Linked DNA regions of Tamandua tetradactyla. The protein of the gene in region 2 purifies or fractionates together with the protein of the main gene of each other region. This does not show direct contact. Links are inferred from orthologs where the notes say so. Each region holds a gene or a part of one and is shown on either strand. Other genes may lie near its edges.

The links.
Region 1: the proteins of PLD1 (region 2) and ARF1 purify together in Homo sapiens (affinity purification with western blotting; 3 studies listed by BioGRID, with this or other methods). This does not show direct contact. The link is inferred for Tamandua tetradactyla from reciprocal best matches to the Homo sapiens genes PLD1 and ARF1.

What each region holds. Positions count from the first base shown.
Region 1 is NC_135346.1:63,009,839-63,017,326, forward strand, and holds the start of ARF1 (ADP-ribosylation factor 1), read right to left. Parts: upstream 3,007-7,488; 5' UTR 2,875-3,006; intron 2,689-2,874; exon of another isoform or gene 2,497-2,688; intron 1-2,496. UniProt on the Homo sapiens protein: Small GTPase involved in protein trafficking between different compartments. Modulates vesicle budding and uncoating within the Golgi complex. In its GTP-bound form, triggers the recruitment of coatomer proteins to the Golgi membrane.
Region 2 is NC_135331.1:69,252,666-69,260,352, forward strand, and holds the start of PLD1 (phospholipase D1), read right to left. Parts: upstream 3,075-7,687; 5' UTR 2,973-3,074; intron 1-2,972. UniProt on the Homo sapiens protein: Function as phospholipase selective for phosphatidylcholine. Implicated as a critical step in numerous cellular pathways, including signal transduction, membrane trafficking, and the regulation of mitosis.

The sequences.
Region 1 (7,488 bases), on a different chromosome or scaffold from region 2:
CCACCCTCACACTCACCATCCTTTACTTTCCAGTAGGAAGGGTTACACACCCAACTCACCATTAGGTCAAAATCTTCTTTTTAAAATGAATGCAGATGATGTGGGAAGCCACATCTATGTCAATGGGGAGCAGATACAGTTCAAAAAAGGTAAGTTCTCATTTAATTTTAAAATCCCAAGAGAAAGGAATGTTCATGTTTCTCTCCCAACTTCCTCTGACACATCAGCATTTTATTCCCTTCTACTTGTAATAATTCTAAAGTGAAAAGGTCAAAGGGGAGAATGCCTGCATTAGGGACAGTGGGAACAGGGGCAGTCAGTGAATAATATGGCAAGCCCCAAATACTGAGGTCTGGTCATTTCCACAGCGAAACGATCACAACCCTCAGGAAGGTGTGTGCAAACAAAGCTTTAGGAGCCTGACCTGTGATTTTAACATAGATTTTAAAACAGATTTTAACACAGATCAAGGTAACAATTAATTTGAAAAATCTAAGAAATGGATTAAACGCACTCAAATCAAATTAACATACTATAATATGAACTTGCAGACTTTTTACCCTGATTAGTCTTACTCCTATGGCCATCTGACTCTGGAGAGCACCTTAACAGCTGATGAGCCATTTAAAAATTTTACAGAAAGCAAAAAAGCCAGGGTGTACCTCCTTTTTCTAAGCCAATCTGCTCTTACATTAATTAGTCTGGTACAGACATTAGCAGCTGAAGATGTCTAAGCACCCCCTTCATATTTTGCAAGAAGTAAAGTGAATACTTAGAACATGTGATTTTTAAAAGCTAGACCAGTAAGGACCACAAAACTAGTTCTATGCTTTCTACTAACTTCCTTTCAGTTGGCAGAATGTAAGCCAGCCATTATCCAAACCACCCATTTTAAATATGTTTGGAAGAGCAATCCTGAACATCAGCAGACACTCCTCACAAGAAACAGCATACTTCTAAGGTTGGGTGATACTAACTTATTTTGACTGAGACGTTCCTGAAGACAACACCCTATGATGCGGCACACCCAGGATTTGGGACCCTACCCCAGGTTCATGGGCAAGACCCACCTATGCCCTCAAATGTGAGGTCACCAGAAAACCTCAATGCTAATAAGACAATACACTTCTACCAATGCGGCCAGATTTGTGATGAGCATTTAAACCATTTAATTCCTCTTAGTTTTCGACCCAGCTAATGCTACAGGTTTCAAGTTCGTACAGTTCTAGCTACTTACAGCAGTATTCCTGAAAACTCAAATTAACTGGTAACACCATACATGCAGTAACACTTTGTTAAATACTAGAAGACATCAAGGCAGAAGGACCGAGTGGTAGCTTACACTCCTTCAGATATACTGCAGGAAACATCAGAACCTCTGATAAAAACAGCAAGCAGAAAAAACTGCTGACCGCCAGTTCTGAAAACACAACTACAAATGACAACTCTCAACATCAGGAGTGACACCAACCACACAGCTCAACAGTAACTTCTGAGACTACCCCAAAGCTTCTGAATTCCTTTCATTTCCTGCTATGAGTTCTTGTGCAATTCTGCTCAGTTCATTTAAACAGCAACTTCCTTTTCCCTTTGATGAAATGGGGAGAGTGCCACCTAGCTCAGAAGTGCTGTTTGAATTAATTACTTAATAGTTTAAATACTTTATAATTAAGCCTTATTAACAAAATTACGTTCTAAATGCCAGAACAACCCGAATTGTGCAACAAGAAAGCATTAAGTCACCTCTGCTAGGAAGACTGCTTAGATCCTATGAACAAATTGTTTTATATGTGGGTTAAAAATTCACCAGCTTGGAAAGAAAGAGTCTTATCTATTCCCAGTGACATTCAAGGAGGAAATCCTGGAATTAAAGTAAGGATAAATCAGTTCTCTAAAGGCCACAGTAGCCTTGAGTGCAGACTTAGAAGGCAGTTCTTTAAGCTTGGTGTTCCTATGAAGTGTTCATAGACCCGAATTATATCTTCAGACGGAACTCTGGGTTTCTCTTGAAGTCCACAGACTTCAAGACCCAAGCATTCAATCAGGAAATACAAGGGAACGCAGCTGCCCTCAAGCAGCTCCAATCAGGCCATTCCTCCCCTCCCCCAGCAGCACCCAGGCCAACTCCAGATCCGACTCCCACTTTCAGAGCAAACAGGAACTGGAGTCAGGAGGCCTGGGTTCAAACCCTAGATTTGTGACCTTGACCGAGTCACGGAGCTGTTCCGAGCCTCGGTTTCTTGATCCTGGGAGTGAGATTTGCAAAATTCCCTTTTCAGAGGTTTGCACCCGAGGGTGCTTGGAGGAAGCTCACTAAACGTTCACCCGCCCTGTGGGAGACACCCCCTACTTCGAACCCTACGTACCCCGCTTCCTCCTCCGCCCTCCCACAGCCAAATGACTCAAAGGCTCCGGCTCGGGCTTCCTTTCCCTTCGCCAGTTACCGACAGTGACTCCCGCCCGAACGAGCAGTTCTGAACAGAGGAGAAAGCAAACCTTTCGGCTGCGCAAGTGGAGAGGGCTCGAAAGGAGCAGGAAATGAAGGCTTTTTAAAGGAAAAGCCCACATCCCTAGGAGGCCAAGAGCGAAAGCCCGGATTTCCGGATTTCGGGACCAGCGAGGGAGAGGCCGCTACGGCTGCGGGCGAAGACGCTCTGCTGCCTTTAGCAGGATGTGAGGCCAGCGAGGGAGACTCAGGAGGCCCCGACGAGCCCTCCGCGCCAGCCCCGGCTCCGCGCCGCCCGCCCAGTGGCCTCAGCCTTGCCACCTCCCGTCCCGCCGCCGCCGCCGCCGCCGCGGGTGGACAGGGACTCACGCACGAGCCCCAGGGCCAGCCCAGCTGCTCGCGCGCCCTCCCGCCGCACTGCCCCTCACCCCTCGGCGGCCGCGGCGGCTGCTGCTGTTGCTGGTGCTGCTGCTCCGAGCCAGGCGTTGGTTTCGCTCCCACAAGATGGCGGCTCTGACGGCGGCCACGTCAGTGCCTGGTGCCGCGGGTGACGCCGGGTAATTGGGGGCGGGGATATGGTATGCCCCGCCCATTCCCCCGCTCGCGGCGCGCATGCGTAACTCAGGGGGCGGGGTCGAGGGTGCGTCGCCACGCCCCGTGTCCTGCGTGCTCCGCCTCCCCCCCCGCGCGGACCTACACCCGGGGGCGCTCCGTCTGCATTTCCCTTGAAGGTTCGGTGCTGAGGCCGCGCGGCGCATTTACGGATGTGGACCTCGGGGCCGAGGTGCCATAGCGCGCCCCCTCCTCCGACCCGGGTCGGTCGCCGTCCGGTAGCCGGGATTCCGGGCTCATCTCCGCGCCGCGGCTCTTTCTCCGCCCTCTTCAGGGTCCGGGCGCCCGTGGCGGGCCGGAGACAAGGCCGCGCGGTCGTGGAGCCAGGCCGGGTATTGTGGAAACCGTTGCCACCAACAGGTGGCCACAAGCGGGAAAGGGGGTTTCCAGGGCGCCCGCAGGTTCCAGCACTGGGCGCCTACTTGCCCCTCCCCGGCCTTTGTGCCCACGGTACAGCCGGTGACCGCAACAGACATGTGCCTGCACCCTGGAGCTGACAGTATGATAAAAACGTAAATGATTTACTGAGTCAGGGGATACAGGGTTCCGAGCGTGGAATAGTGACGGCCAGGGTTCCTCTACTGGGGTGTGGCCTTGGAACTGTGATCCGTGTGACAGGAGAGGGCACGATGTGTGAAGGTGGGGAAAGGAGGAGCCTTTTCCGAGAAGCCTCCCTGGGCTGATCCAGAGGGAAGAGGGGACGAGAGCGGGCTCTCCCCCGCGTTTCCAAGGCATGAGGGCTTGGCTCTGTTCCTCCCTTTGGAAACTCACTTGGGCCTCTCGCCTATCCCCAGTGCTCCTTACTTGTTTTTGTACTGCCTGGGCTCTCTCCTCCTGCCACCCTGTGCTGTTGTGAGATGTATCTCCCATTCCGGAGGTTTTGGTGAAATTACTGGGAGAGCTTTGCAGCCCCGTGCCCAAGTGTTCAAAGAGGCAGAAAACGGGGTCATCATTTGTGCCCTGCTGCAATCACCTCTATTCAAGCAGCAGGCCAGGGGCCTGCCTGGAAGAGGCATCAAAGCCAGGCCCTGAGGGTTTCACAGGGCCTGGCAGGAGGCTTCCCAACCCTCTGTGCACTCATTGCACGCCCACTCCTCTTGGGCAGGGCCAGGACCCACTGACTGTGGGATGATGACATCGCACCAGCCCTGCCCTGAGGCTGCACCTGCCGGGCTGTGATCACCTCAGAGAGTGATGACCCTGTGCCTTCCTGTCCCCACTAAGAATCTTACTCCTGGGACCAAGACAACCCAAACGCTCGACGCTGGTGAACAGGCCTCTGCCCGTCCTGCCCTCCAGCCCAGTTGTAACCCCCAGATCTGGTCATTTCTAAGAACCAAACTCAGGCCACACCTCTGCCCCTGCCCCCACATCTCCCCCTGCAGTCACCTCCATCCCACTGCTACGTTTAGGAGTCTCTGTCCCACCCCCAGATACCCCACAGTGCTCATGCAGAGCGTCCCATAGGGATGTGAGTCTCCAGGGAGGGGTGTGGAGGGCCATAGTACCTTCTGGTGATGTGAACTCCCCACTCCCAGGGAGCAGGTCCCTGACCAGACGCCTCTCTGATTACAACCCCTTTAGAGCTAAGGAAACCACAGAAGAGAGTGGAGAGGAGACAGTGGAGGGTCCAGCGACCCTGGTTGTGGACGAAGGCTCTCCTCCCCTTTCTTTAAAATGGCAAAAAAAAATTTTTGTGTGGAAACTGTCATACACAGGAAGGAAGCGAGTTATTTAAAAAATAAAATGAATTCCTGTGGACCCACCCCAGGGTAAGAAATTTAATTCCTCCTGAGTCTATCCTACTAGTTTTGTCCCCCTAGGGTAAGGGTGTCTTTGGGCCAGAGAGGTAGTAAAGAAGCCCCGGGAAGTGGGCCTTAGAGGGGTGCCCGCCCAGCTTAGGCCAGGAGGGGGCGCATAGTCTCAGGCCAGCTGGGGCCATGTGAGATGACAGGAGGGTGAGGCTTGGAGGTGGAGGGCAAACCCCACATTCCACCATGAGGCTGGGAATCCCCCAGCTCCGGTCTTCATCTTCAACCCAACCACTGGCCAGGGACTTGCTGGGACCCAGGATTGGACTCTTCCCCTCGGGGATGCTCGAATGACCAGGGTCAAACAGGAAAATGTCCTGGGAAAGGTGGGCTGGAAGGACAAGACAGAACCGGCCTGAACGGAAGAGTGGCTTCCCCATGCAGTGACACCAAGCTGGTGGGCCAGGTTAGCTGGAGGGAGGTGGGAAGAGGAGGTGATCCTATCTATACTAAAGGACCCTAGCCCTAACCTAGGGATGGACATAAGTCCTGCAAGCTCGCCATGCAAGCTCTTGTGTGTGGATCCAGGCTCAGGGAGGTCAGGAAACACACCCAAGGTCACACGGTTAATATTTAGCCCCACCCTTCAACATGACCCCTAGTCTTGTGCAGCCCCCACCTTTGCCCTTTCCACTGCCCTCCACCCCGACAGCCTCTGGAAGGGGGAGCTCAGAGGTCATTGACTTCAGTGCTGCTGCAGGCTGAAACTACTTGAACTGCTCACTGCTGTCCAAGGTAACCAGCCAGTGGTCATCTGCCCACTCTGCCTCCTTCTGGGGAGTCAGGAGGAGATGGGGGCTGGAGTAGGGGGCCAAATGACTGGCGAGCTGGACTTCAGTCTTTTCCAAGAGCCCGACACCCACACCATGTCTCCAACCCACTCCAAGATGGCCCTGTCCTTCCTGGGTCCTGGGGCCAGCCCTGCCTGTACCCTCACTGGCTTGTGCCATGTGGGGAGCTTGGGTCATGAGAGGAGATGGGTTTCCCTACGGAGAACACAGTAGCTAAAAGGCTCATGAGGACCACTGTCCAGTTCCAGGAGATGGGAGAGAACTGATTCAGGGGACCACTCTCACCTCCAGTCCCTTTTAGCATCACCTGATTCCCCCTAACAAACAAGTCTGCTCCTGTCTCGATTCCCCCATCAGGGAAAGTGCTTGGGACCAGACCCCAAAGCCAGGGTCACTCTGGCCTGCCCTTATGTTCATCCCTAGGGCTCCAAGGTGAATGCCCAGTGCAACCCATGGTCTCCTCACTCCTGGTCCAGCTCATGGACCCCTTTCAATTCCCAGGAACAGGCCAGGGCCTCTCCTGCCTCTGGGCCTTTGCATTTGCTGTTCCCTCTGCCTGGGATGCTGTTCCAGGGTAGAACCCCTGCAGACTCCTGCAGTGGGCCTTCACCAGGCAAGGTGGCGTCCTTGATGGTGTCTGCAGGGGTCTCCACATGCCTCTCTTCTGCTTTGTCGCTGCTTTTCCCTGGAATGCCCACTGCAGGTGGCAAGGACTTGTGTCTGCTCCATTTTTGGCCACTCCCGAGGCAGCTCAGGGACCACGAACTTGAGTGGGGAAGAGCACATCGTTCTTTCACTAACCTCTGGCTGACATTTGGCATTTCCTCCCACTTCCAATGGAGGCACCACACAAAAACAGGAGGGTAAGCAGGACCTGTGATTTGCAACGGGTAGAAACCTCAGGTATTTTCATGTCACATTAGAGCTGTTGCAAGAATCTCAAAATATTGTTTATGCTCTTCACTAAGCTGAAATTAAGGAGGCTGTCAGCCTGTTGCCAGCTCTCCTTATTGAAGGTGTCAGTGACAAAGACTTTATTACTAGATCAGATTTCCCCCCTTTCTCCACAAGGCTTTAGTTTTTCTTTCTGTTTTGTTACCGCTTTGCCGAGATATAATTGTAAGACAATAAGCCGGTACATAGTTAGAGAGTACAATTTGATAAGTTTTGATCTGTGTGAACACACCTCCATCAAGATATTGAAAAATCTGTCACCCCCAAAAGTTATTATACCACAAAGCTTAAAGCTTTTGCTAACTGTACTGGGTTTTTTTGTTTTTTTGTTTTTGTAATAAAGGGTATTTATTTTATGCATTAATAAAAGCTCAGGGGTAAGTAAATAAAAGTAAAAGGGTCCCCAGGCTTCACTGGACTGCTGGAGTGGTCCCTGGCTGGGGTCTCCCGGCTCTGGCTCTTGACAGAGAAGCCACAGAGGGGAGGTTGGGGACCTCAGCAGACAGGCTGCTGCTGCATTTGGACATCCGGAGAAGCCACAGAGGGGAGGTTGGGGACCTCAGCAGACAGGCTACTGCTGCATTTGGACATCCTTCCATCTGCCGCCCAGCCTGGGTAACTGGCCTCTGCTCTGAGCCTTATCTTTTATTGTTTTTTTGTGTTTTGCATGGGCAGGCACTGGGAATTGAACCCGGGTCTCTGGCTTGGCAGGCAAGAACTCTGCCTACTGAGCCACCGTGGCCCACCCTCTGATCCTCCTCTTTTAAAGTGGGAGCGATGAGGGTCACTCTGCTGTTCATAGGGCCAGGAATTTCTAAGGTTCTGGCATAGACCAGGAAGGGGTCAAGACCTGGTGGTTATTCCTGTCCCCTTT
Region 2 (7,687 bases):
CATTAGCAGCAAAAGGGGAAGGAATTTGGGATTCTGGAATCCTAAACAGCCACTAACTTCTGCTCTGTTGGCCACTGACATAACACAGTCTTTATGTAGCCAGTTGGATCTGCTTTGGCCATGTTGATTATTAAAAGATTGAAACCCTTTCTTCACAGTCCGTGAATACACCCACCCCCAAAAAACAGACTGACCTCCCAGCCCTCCCAAGTCCCCCCTCCCCAGCTTCCCACAACGACCAGTTAACACCTGAGTCAGCAGAGGGTCTCCAGGACCCTATCCCAGCCTCTCCACCCCTGCACAGAACCACTTTCCACCTTAGTTTTCCTTTTCTGAAAAGTGAGGGAGTGGAACTGACTGAGTTGCATTATGTTTGTAATTATGTTAAATTATTTACGCCTCAAGAAGAGGACAAGACCAGGAAAATAAAAATCCGAAAACAATTCATTTGTTGGCAGAGAAGAGGGGGAAATCTCAATGATGTCTTTCTGGGTCTGTTAAATGGGCGTAATGAGATTAGCTACTTCACAGAGTTGTTTTGAGGATTAAATGTATTCAAATTTGTAAAAGCTTAGAAGAGTGCCTGGCGTAAAGTAAGCAACACATAAGTGTTTACTGAATAAACAAATCATTTAATACTGGCACTAAAATGTTTATTCAATACATTTAAAACTTAAGAAAGGTTCACAACAGAAAGAAAAACAATCGTGATGCTATGAAACACTTACATAACATATACTGTTGTTTAATAATCCAACACTAAAACATCTGGACTCCAGAATTTTACATTGAATTCAGGGAAATGAACACATCAGAATGCATTCCCATTGTAGCTATGATACAATGATTTGCATGATTCCCTTCTAATTAGAAATGTCAAAGATGTATGAGAAATTCAAGTTATGGGTTTCCTATTTTAACCCTGCAACAACATTTAGCCATTTTCTGGCAGGGGAATAAATGTAGCTTTGTGGTGCTAAGACCTAAAGTTTTGTAATCAGAAAACCAGGCCTTATTCAACTTCTGCTTCTCTCTTGACACTATGAGTCAGCCTAACTGCAAGTTTAAAGAGCCATTTCTTCGATGCTTGGTCCTATAGCATCCAACTTTTGTAAACACCTGGAGTGGCCAGGAAATTACTACACCCAGAAGCTAGCTTGATCAAAACTGCTTTTAGTTACTAAGCAACTGAGCTCGAGCTTAATTTAGACAGATGCGATGCACTGCAAAGGGAGACAAAATTGACTATTTTATCTTTCTGTTAGATATTCAGAGAAGGAAACCATCCAACAATAACTCCTTTATCTATTCCTCCCTCTTTATTACTTAACAATAACCTTATAGCCACATTTAAATAGTTACAAGCTTATCCTCAGATAGTAATTTATTAGACCTTCCCTGATGAAGAAAAGACTTAATAGATGTAGTTTAGGCATGGATTTCCACCTTTCCTCTTAAAAGTATATTTCTCTAAAGCTATGAAAAAAACTCATGCCTTGCTTAATGAGAAAAAGAAAGCTATCATTAACACCCTATAGAGTTAAAGGTAAATAAACTTTTTAACCACCATTTTATATTAAGAAACACCCAGTAAGTAATCAGAGACTTCTCCAACAAGCACAGTTTCCCACCGTCAAGGTCGTGAATCAATAAGCCTAAATGTATGTTATACAGCAGGGATCACTGTTCATAAATATTCTGACATCAGGGACAAGCATGCTAAAAACACATTTTCCCAAAAGCCTTAACTACTCATGCTTTTTATAGGAATTCTAAATTGTACTGCATCCTGAGAAGTCAGGCTGGGAGTTCACACAATAAGTTAAAGGATCACCAAACAACACTTACAGGCTGAGTACAAATTCAGGCTAAAAGACTGTGCAAATTCATTTGTGTATATGCTACAAAACATTTAATCCTGAATTAGATTCTTGTTAAAATACGCAGGATGTAAAGGTGGCATCTTTTCACAGTTCACACGGAAGCATTCTTTTCATTCCTTTAAGTTTTAAGTGCACCACCCATAGTTAAAACCCCATTTAACACACCACGGAAGTCTGGGTTATCTCAACTGAAATTGGCAGGCCTGGCTGATAAAGTTAACGGAACTCCGCACTCTGCGGAGAGAAGAAAAGATGATCAAATGCAGCAACGCCTGCGTTACTTCGGAATCCACTTGCATTTAATGCTTTACAGAGGAAGTAAAAAGAACCCAACAGCCCAAGATTAGGAGAAGTAAACGCAGGCGTGGCAGTAGAGCTGGACTGATTCTACCAGGGCGGCTCTGAAGGGCTTCTCAAAATCCAGTGGAAGTCGCGGGGAACCGCGCTCCTGGATCCGAGAAGAGTGTTGCAAATATCTCGAACCCGGAGCGAGGAGAACAAGCCCTAGAACACACGCGGGGCCCCAGGTCCTCCGCGCCTGCCCCAGCCTCGGTGTCATCCCATCGCGGGTCCCGTGGGAGCGGCTGTGTGACCACCTGCCCCGGACCATGCACCTGGCCAACTCCCACCCTCGGCACGTGGCACTTCCTGGTCGGTTCGGGATGCTGGTCCCAGCGCGACCGCCATCCCGGCCAGCCCAGAGCGCACGCAGAGGCTGTGTCGGCGCGGCCCGGCGCGACCCGGGGTCGCGCGAGATGGCCTGGGGCCACCGGACAGGCTGCACCCCAGGGCCCCAGCGCAGCTCCGAGCTTCGGGCAGTCGCGCGCCTCGGCAAAGCTGCGCGCCCAAGTTGTCGGCGCTGAAGGACGTGGGCCCAAAGGCGTGCCCAGGAGGCCCCCGGGGGCCCCGAGGAGGCGCGATCGCGCCAGGCCCCAGCGGCGCTGGCGCCTGCCGCATACGCAGCTGCCAAGGTCCCGTCCAAGTTGGGCGGGGAGCGGCCAGCCGCCCGGGAGGAGGGCCGGAGCGCCAGGGCGGCGGGAACCAGGCTCCCCGGAGCCCCGAGAGCCTGGGGCGCGCTGCGTCTCTTACCTGCCTCGCCAGGGCGGCAGCGGGCACCTGCACGGCCTCCGCGGACTACGGGGCTCGGGCCCAGCCGGCGCAGCTGGAGCGACCGGGGGGGGGGGCGGGTAGCAGAGAAAAAGCAGGGGTGCTGGAAGGGGCCCCGCGCCCTGCGCCGCCCGGAACTGGCCTCCAGGCTGCGCCCCGGCTTCGCAGGGGTGGAGCGAGGCGGTGCCGGGTGCCGGGCGCGTCGTGGCTGCCACTGGCCGCCACGGCGGGGCAGGAAGGCCCCGGCCACTAGGCGTCTCTCCTTGTCCCCGTTTTTTTATTCTCTCTTTTTCCCGGAGTTTCATAACCCGACCCCATCAGCCTAAGGAATGTTCCCTAGCCATTGTTATCGTTTCGGGTTCTCTTGAGTCCCCACGTGCCCGGGCATCGTTCTAGGAGCTTCGCCTACATGATCCATCTGGTCCACTGCAGCTGGTAGCCACTCGAGGCCCTGTCATACAAATAAAGAAATAGCGGCCCAAAAAAGTTGAAATAACTTGCCTGAGGTGATACAATTCAGAAGTAGGAGCTTTCTGGCCTCACCTCTAAACCTTCTTGCAACTCCCTGAACGGCCCACCTTAAAACGCAGGAGACTGGAATTTGTGTTTTGATGTCTCTAAAGCCCGAGCTCAGTATAATTCAGAAATTGGGAGTGAAATATGGAAAATTCTCATCCCACCCGTGGAACGCTCCAAATCCAGCAATCTTTGCCATTTTCAGTACACTTAAAATAGAGTTTTATGAAAAAGAGAACCAGTTGGCTTGAACAGCAGCCCTTTGGGGATATGTTTTTTGAATATAGGCCAGCCCCTAGCTTATTACACAGTACTGCCTCCTGCCAAGGCTGAAGGAAGCAATCGTCTCCACATACCCCAAATTTCATACCGATGGCACTTCTAACGGGTTTAGTGGATATTACACAGCCCAGACTGTCAGAGATACACAAGGTCTTATTGCACATGGAGCAACATGAAATGAAAAACATAATAATCCAGCCCAAAGTAGACAGACAGGCTGAAATTATCGTCTGGAACTCCTTTTTCTGTAATCTATGGTTGCTCAGCCCTCCCTGGACTACATTTTTCTCCCTTGAGCACATCTTTTCCTAATGAGGGAAGAGTCATACAGCCTTGTCACCCTTTCCTTGCTGAAAGAGATGATTGATGTCTTTTGAATCTTATGATACTGACAGATTTTTACAATTAAGCACATGGCCCTCTGAGCAAACAGAACATTGCCTAAGAGGAGTTTGGCAAGTTTAAGACAAGCATGTTATTGAAAGCCTGAAAACCCTCTTTCCTCCCCTTCCTTCTCAAGTTTTATTAGTCACAGATGATTTGATATGTATTATTCACACAAGTGACTATACTCTTGGAGCTTGTCCTTAGAAATTATAACACTTATGGTTGAGAAGCAGCATGCTATAAAATTGCATCCCAAATTCCTAAGTATCATCATTTAAAATAAACATTTGGCACAAACCTACAAACAATAGGTTTTCTATTAAATGTAACTAGAAATAAAATTATTTAAAAGCCCCCCAAATTTAATCTCTGGCTTTCTGACTAGAATAAAATAGAAACATGCTATATGTTGTTTAGAGATGAACTTGAGCTATGGATTGCCAAAGGTAAGTTTTATAGTAGTATGATTCTGTATGTAATTATTTTTATATTCCTCAGGTATTTGCTGGGGATTTTTCCCCCCAATCCTTCACACATTCAAAGATGTCAAAAAAAAGAGTCACTAAGAAATCCTGTTATATATCTAGCTAGATATGCATTTGACTTTTTTATCAGACATATTAAAATCATCTTAATTTTTCTCCTTTTCTCTGAGAATAAAAGTAACAGATGTTCACTGAAAAAAAACTTGGAGATCATAGAAAAACAAAATCACCTATAATATTACACACACACCCATTGTTAATATTTTGATATATTTCTTTTTTATTTTTTATATACATTAATAAAGGCTTATGTAAAATTAACATCATGTTGTACAGTTTAGAATCCTACTTATTTCACTGAATATATGTGTGTGTGTGTGTGTGCGCAATGAGCATTTTTGCCATCATTAAATTTTCTTTAAAAATATAATTTTGAATGGTTGTGGAATATTCCAATCACTTATGTATCTGTTCATCTATTTATCCCTTTTAGAATGTCTTCAGACATTTCTGAAGTTTGGAGATCATGTTGGAACGAGCACTATGGATATCGGTCTTTGTTGAGTCTCTAGGTTCTTTAGGATAGATTCCTGAGTGTGGAAAACTAGATCTACATTCATAAATGTTTTTGAGGTTCTGTGAGTCTTATCTTGCTTGTAAACTTGAAAATGTGATGGATCAATATAACATCTTGCTTTAATCAGCATTTCTTTGATTATCAGTAATGCTGAACACAGTTTGCTTCGTGTTTATTGGTTATTTGTATCATTGAGAATGACCTATTCATGTCTGTTGCCTGTTTTTTTCCCTATGGTAATATTATTGTTCTTCCTATTAATTTGCATTAATGCTTTTAATAAAAACAAAACTACTCTGCAAAGTTTGCATACCGATGTGCTCCCCAAGATTTTCCCTTGTGGTACTTATTCTGTTTCTATACTGTCCAGATGACCTCCGTCCTTTTGGGATGCCCAGCATCCACCATCTTTTCTGATAGTTTCATTTTCTTATAGAGAATTACTTCTTCCCAACTGTGCATATCCTTGGCAGAAAGACAATTTGGGGCTGCACTATCCAAGCCAAAAGGCAGATCTGTCCACTATATTGCCATCACCATCCTATCCCCCTTATAGTCTAGCTCCATGGGCTGACTCTCACAGCGCAAGGGGCCCTGCCAGGTTTGGATTTGGGCTCATGGAGCAAAGGCAGAAGTGGCTGTAGCAGTATTCATTAAAAAAACAAAAACTCTACTATCATAGAATTGAGAGGCACTTACTATAGAAAACACAGGATTAAGAACACAGCCTTTTTAGAAAATAAGAATTAGTAGTTCCTCTAAGTTTGACAAGTCTGAAATGTACTCTACCATGACCTAAGCAGCAACTTTGTCCATAGTACAAAATGTTTCCATGATCACTCATCATCTCATTACAAAGAACCATAAATAGTTTACAGTAGGTTAAAGGTCTGGCTTTTATAATGTCATCTACGTCGCTGCCATCCTCTGGCAATTTGTGCATGAGTAGCTTAAACTTCTTTGCTGCATGAGTTTCTTGCCTTTGAATGATGCAGTAAATAAATGCCATTGGTGGTCATCACTCTGTCCCCTTAGCCCAGAATCCATATTTTGTTCTAGCTAAAGTAGCTGTTCCCTCAGTAGTTACAATGACACAGTTTTCCACAAAACATTGCTTCTATTTTGAAAATCATATACTGTTGGGAATGTTGCTCTCCTTCCACACGCCTTTCCTCTGTGCAGCCCTACCAGAGCTACATACTTTACTGTTTAACCCTAAGCCTTTACTATCTTGACATGGAGTTAATTCAACATTGCAAAAATATACAGTGAACTAACAATCAATAAAGGAGAACAAAAAGAAAGTAATTTATAGTAGAATATCTCTCCAAACCTAACATGCTCAAACAGACCGCTCTAGAAGACATTATGGAGGAATCAGATGTTTGCATGACTTATAATTAATGTGTTTTTATTTGCAAGAAGTATAACAGTTTTCACCTGTTTATTTTCTACACCACTGCTTTAAGTAGCAAGTCGCCACCATTTCTCTATACTGACGCTTGAATGTGACAGTTACAACTGCAGACTAAAAAAGATGTCGCCATTCGCTGCATGATTTTCCAAAAATTAACTTTACATGAACAATGCTTAGTAAAGTTCCAAAGTACAATTTTCCCTCGATTTGTAAACTGTTTGTGTTCCCTTAAAATGCAGTGTATATTAAAAATATGCCAAAATATTTGTGGTTTATATGAAAAAGATTGTTAAGTTCTGGGCTCAGAGAATCAGCAGGTTTTTCACTTACATGAATGCCTGGTAAGACCTTTGAAAGTTTTCTGGGACCAGGGACAACTCTTCATTGTTCAGGACGACTGTGTCCCATGCACAGCAGAGCTTCTAGTCTCCCCCTCCACCCCGGCCTCCACCCGCTAAATACTAGTAAGTAGCCTCCAATCATTGTATTGATCAAAAATGTCCTCTAATTTCCAGAAGGTTCCAAGGGGGCAGTATGGCCCCTGTTGATTGCCAGTGCTTGAGTGAAACATAAAAATCCCTCTAGTATTTAATTAAAGCACAATCTAGCATAAATTGGGATATTATAGAAACAGCCATTCTTTCCTCCAACAGTATACACTACACTGTGTAGTTTGTTCTAAAAAACTTTGGATTCTTAAATTTTGCGATTTATTCATCTTTCAAAGTTATTTGTTTGGTCCCATATTGTCTTCCTTGTATTATTTAATTATTTTTACTTCAGCAAGAAAAGCATGAGGGACGGCGTCTATGTCCATCAACATATTTTATTTACACTGAATTTCTTTCTTCCTTTTTAGATAAAAATAAATAACAATTCTAATATTTTTCTCCCCATTCTGCAGAGTATGGCGAAACCAGCTCTTTCCCCCAAGCTGTATAATTTAACACTTGCTCTTAGAAATTCTGATTTACAGGCAACAAACAAATATAAATTCTAACCAAAGGCTGTATCTTATATTACTTCTATTGTT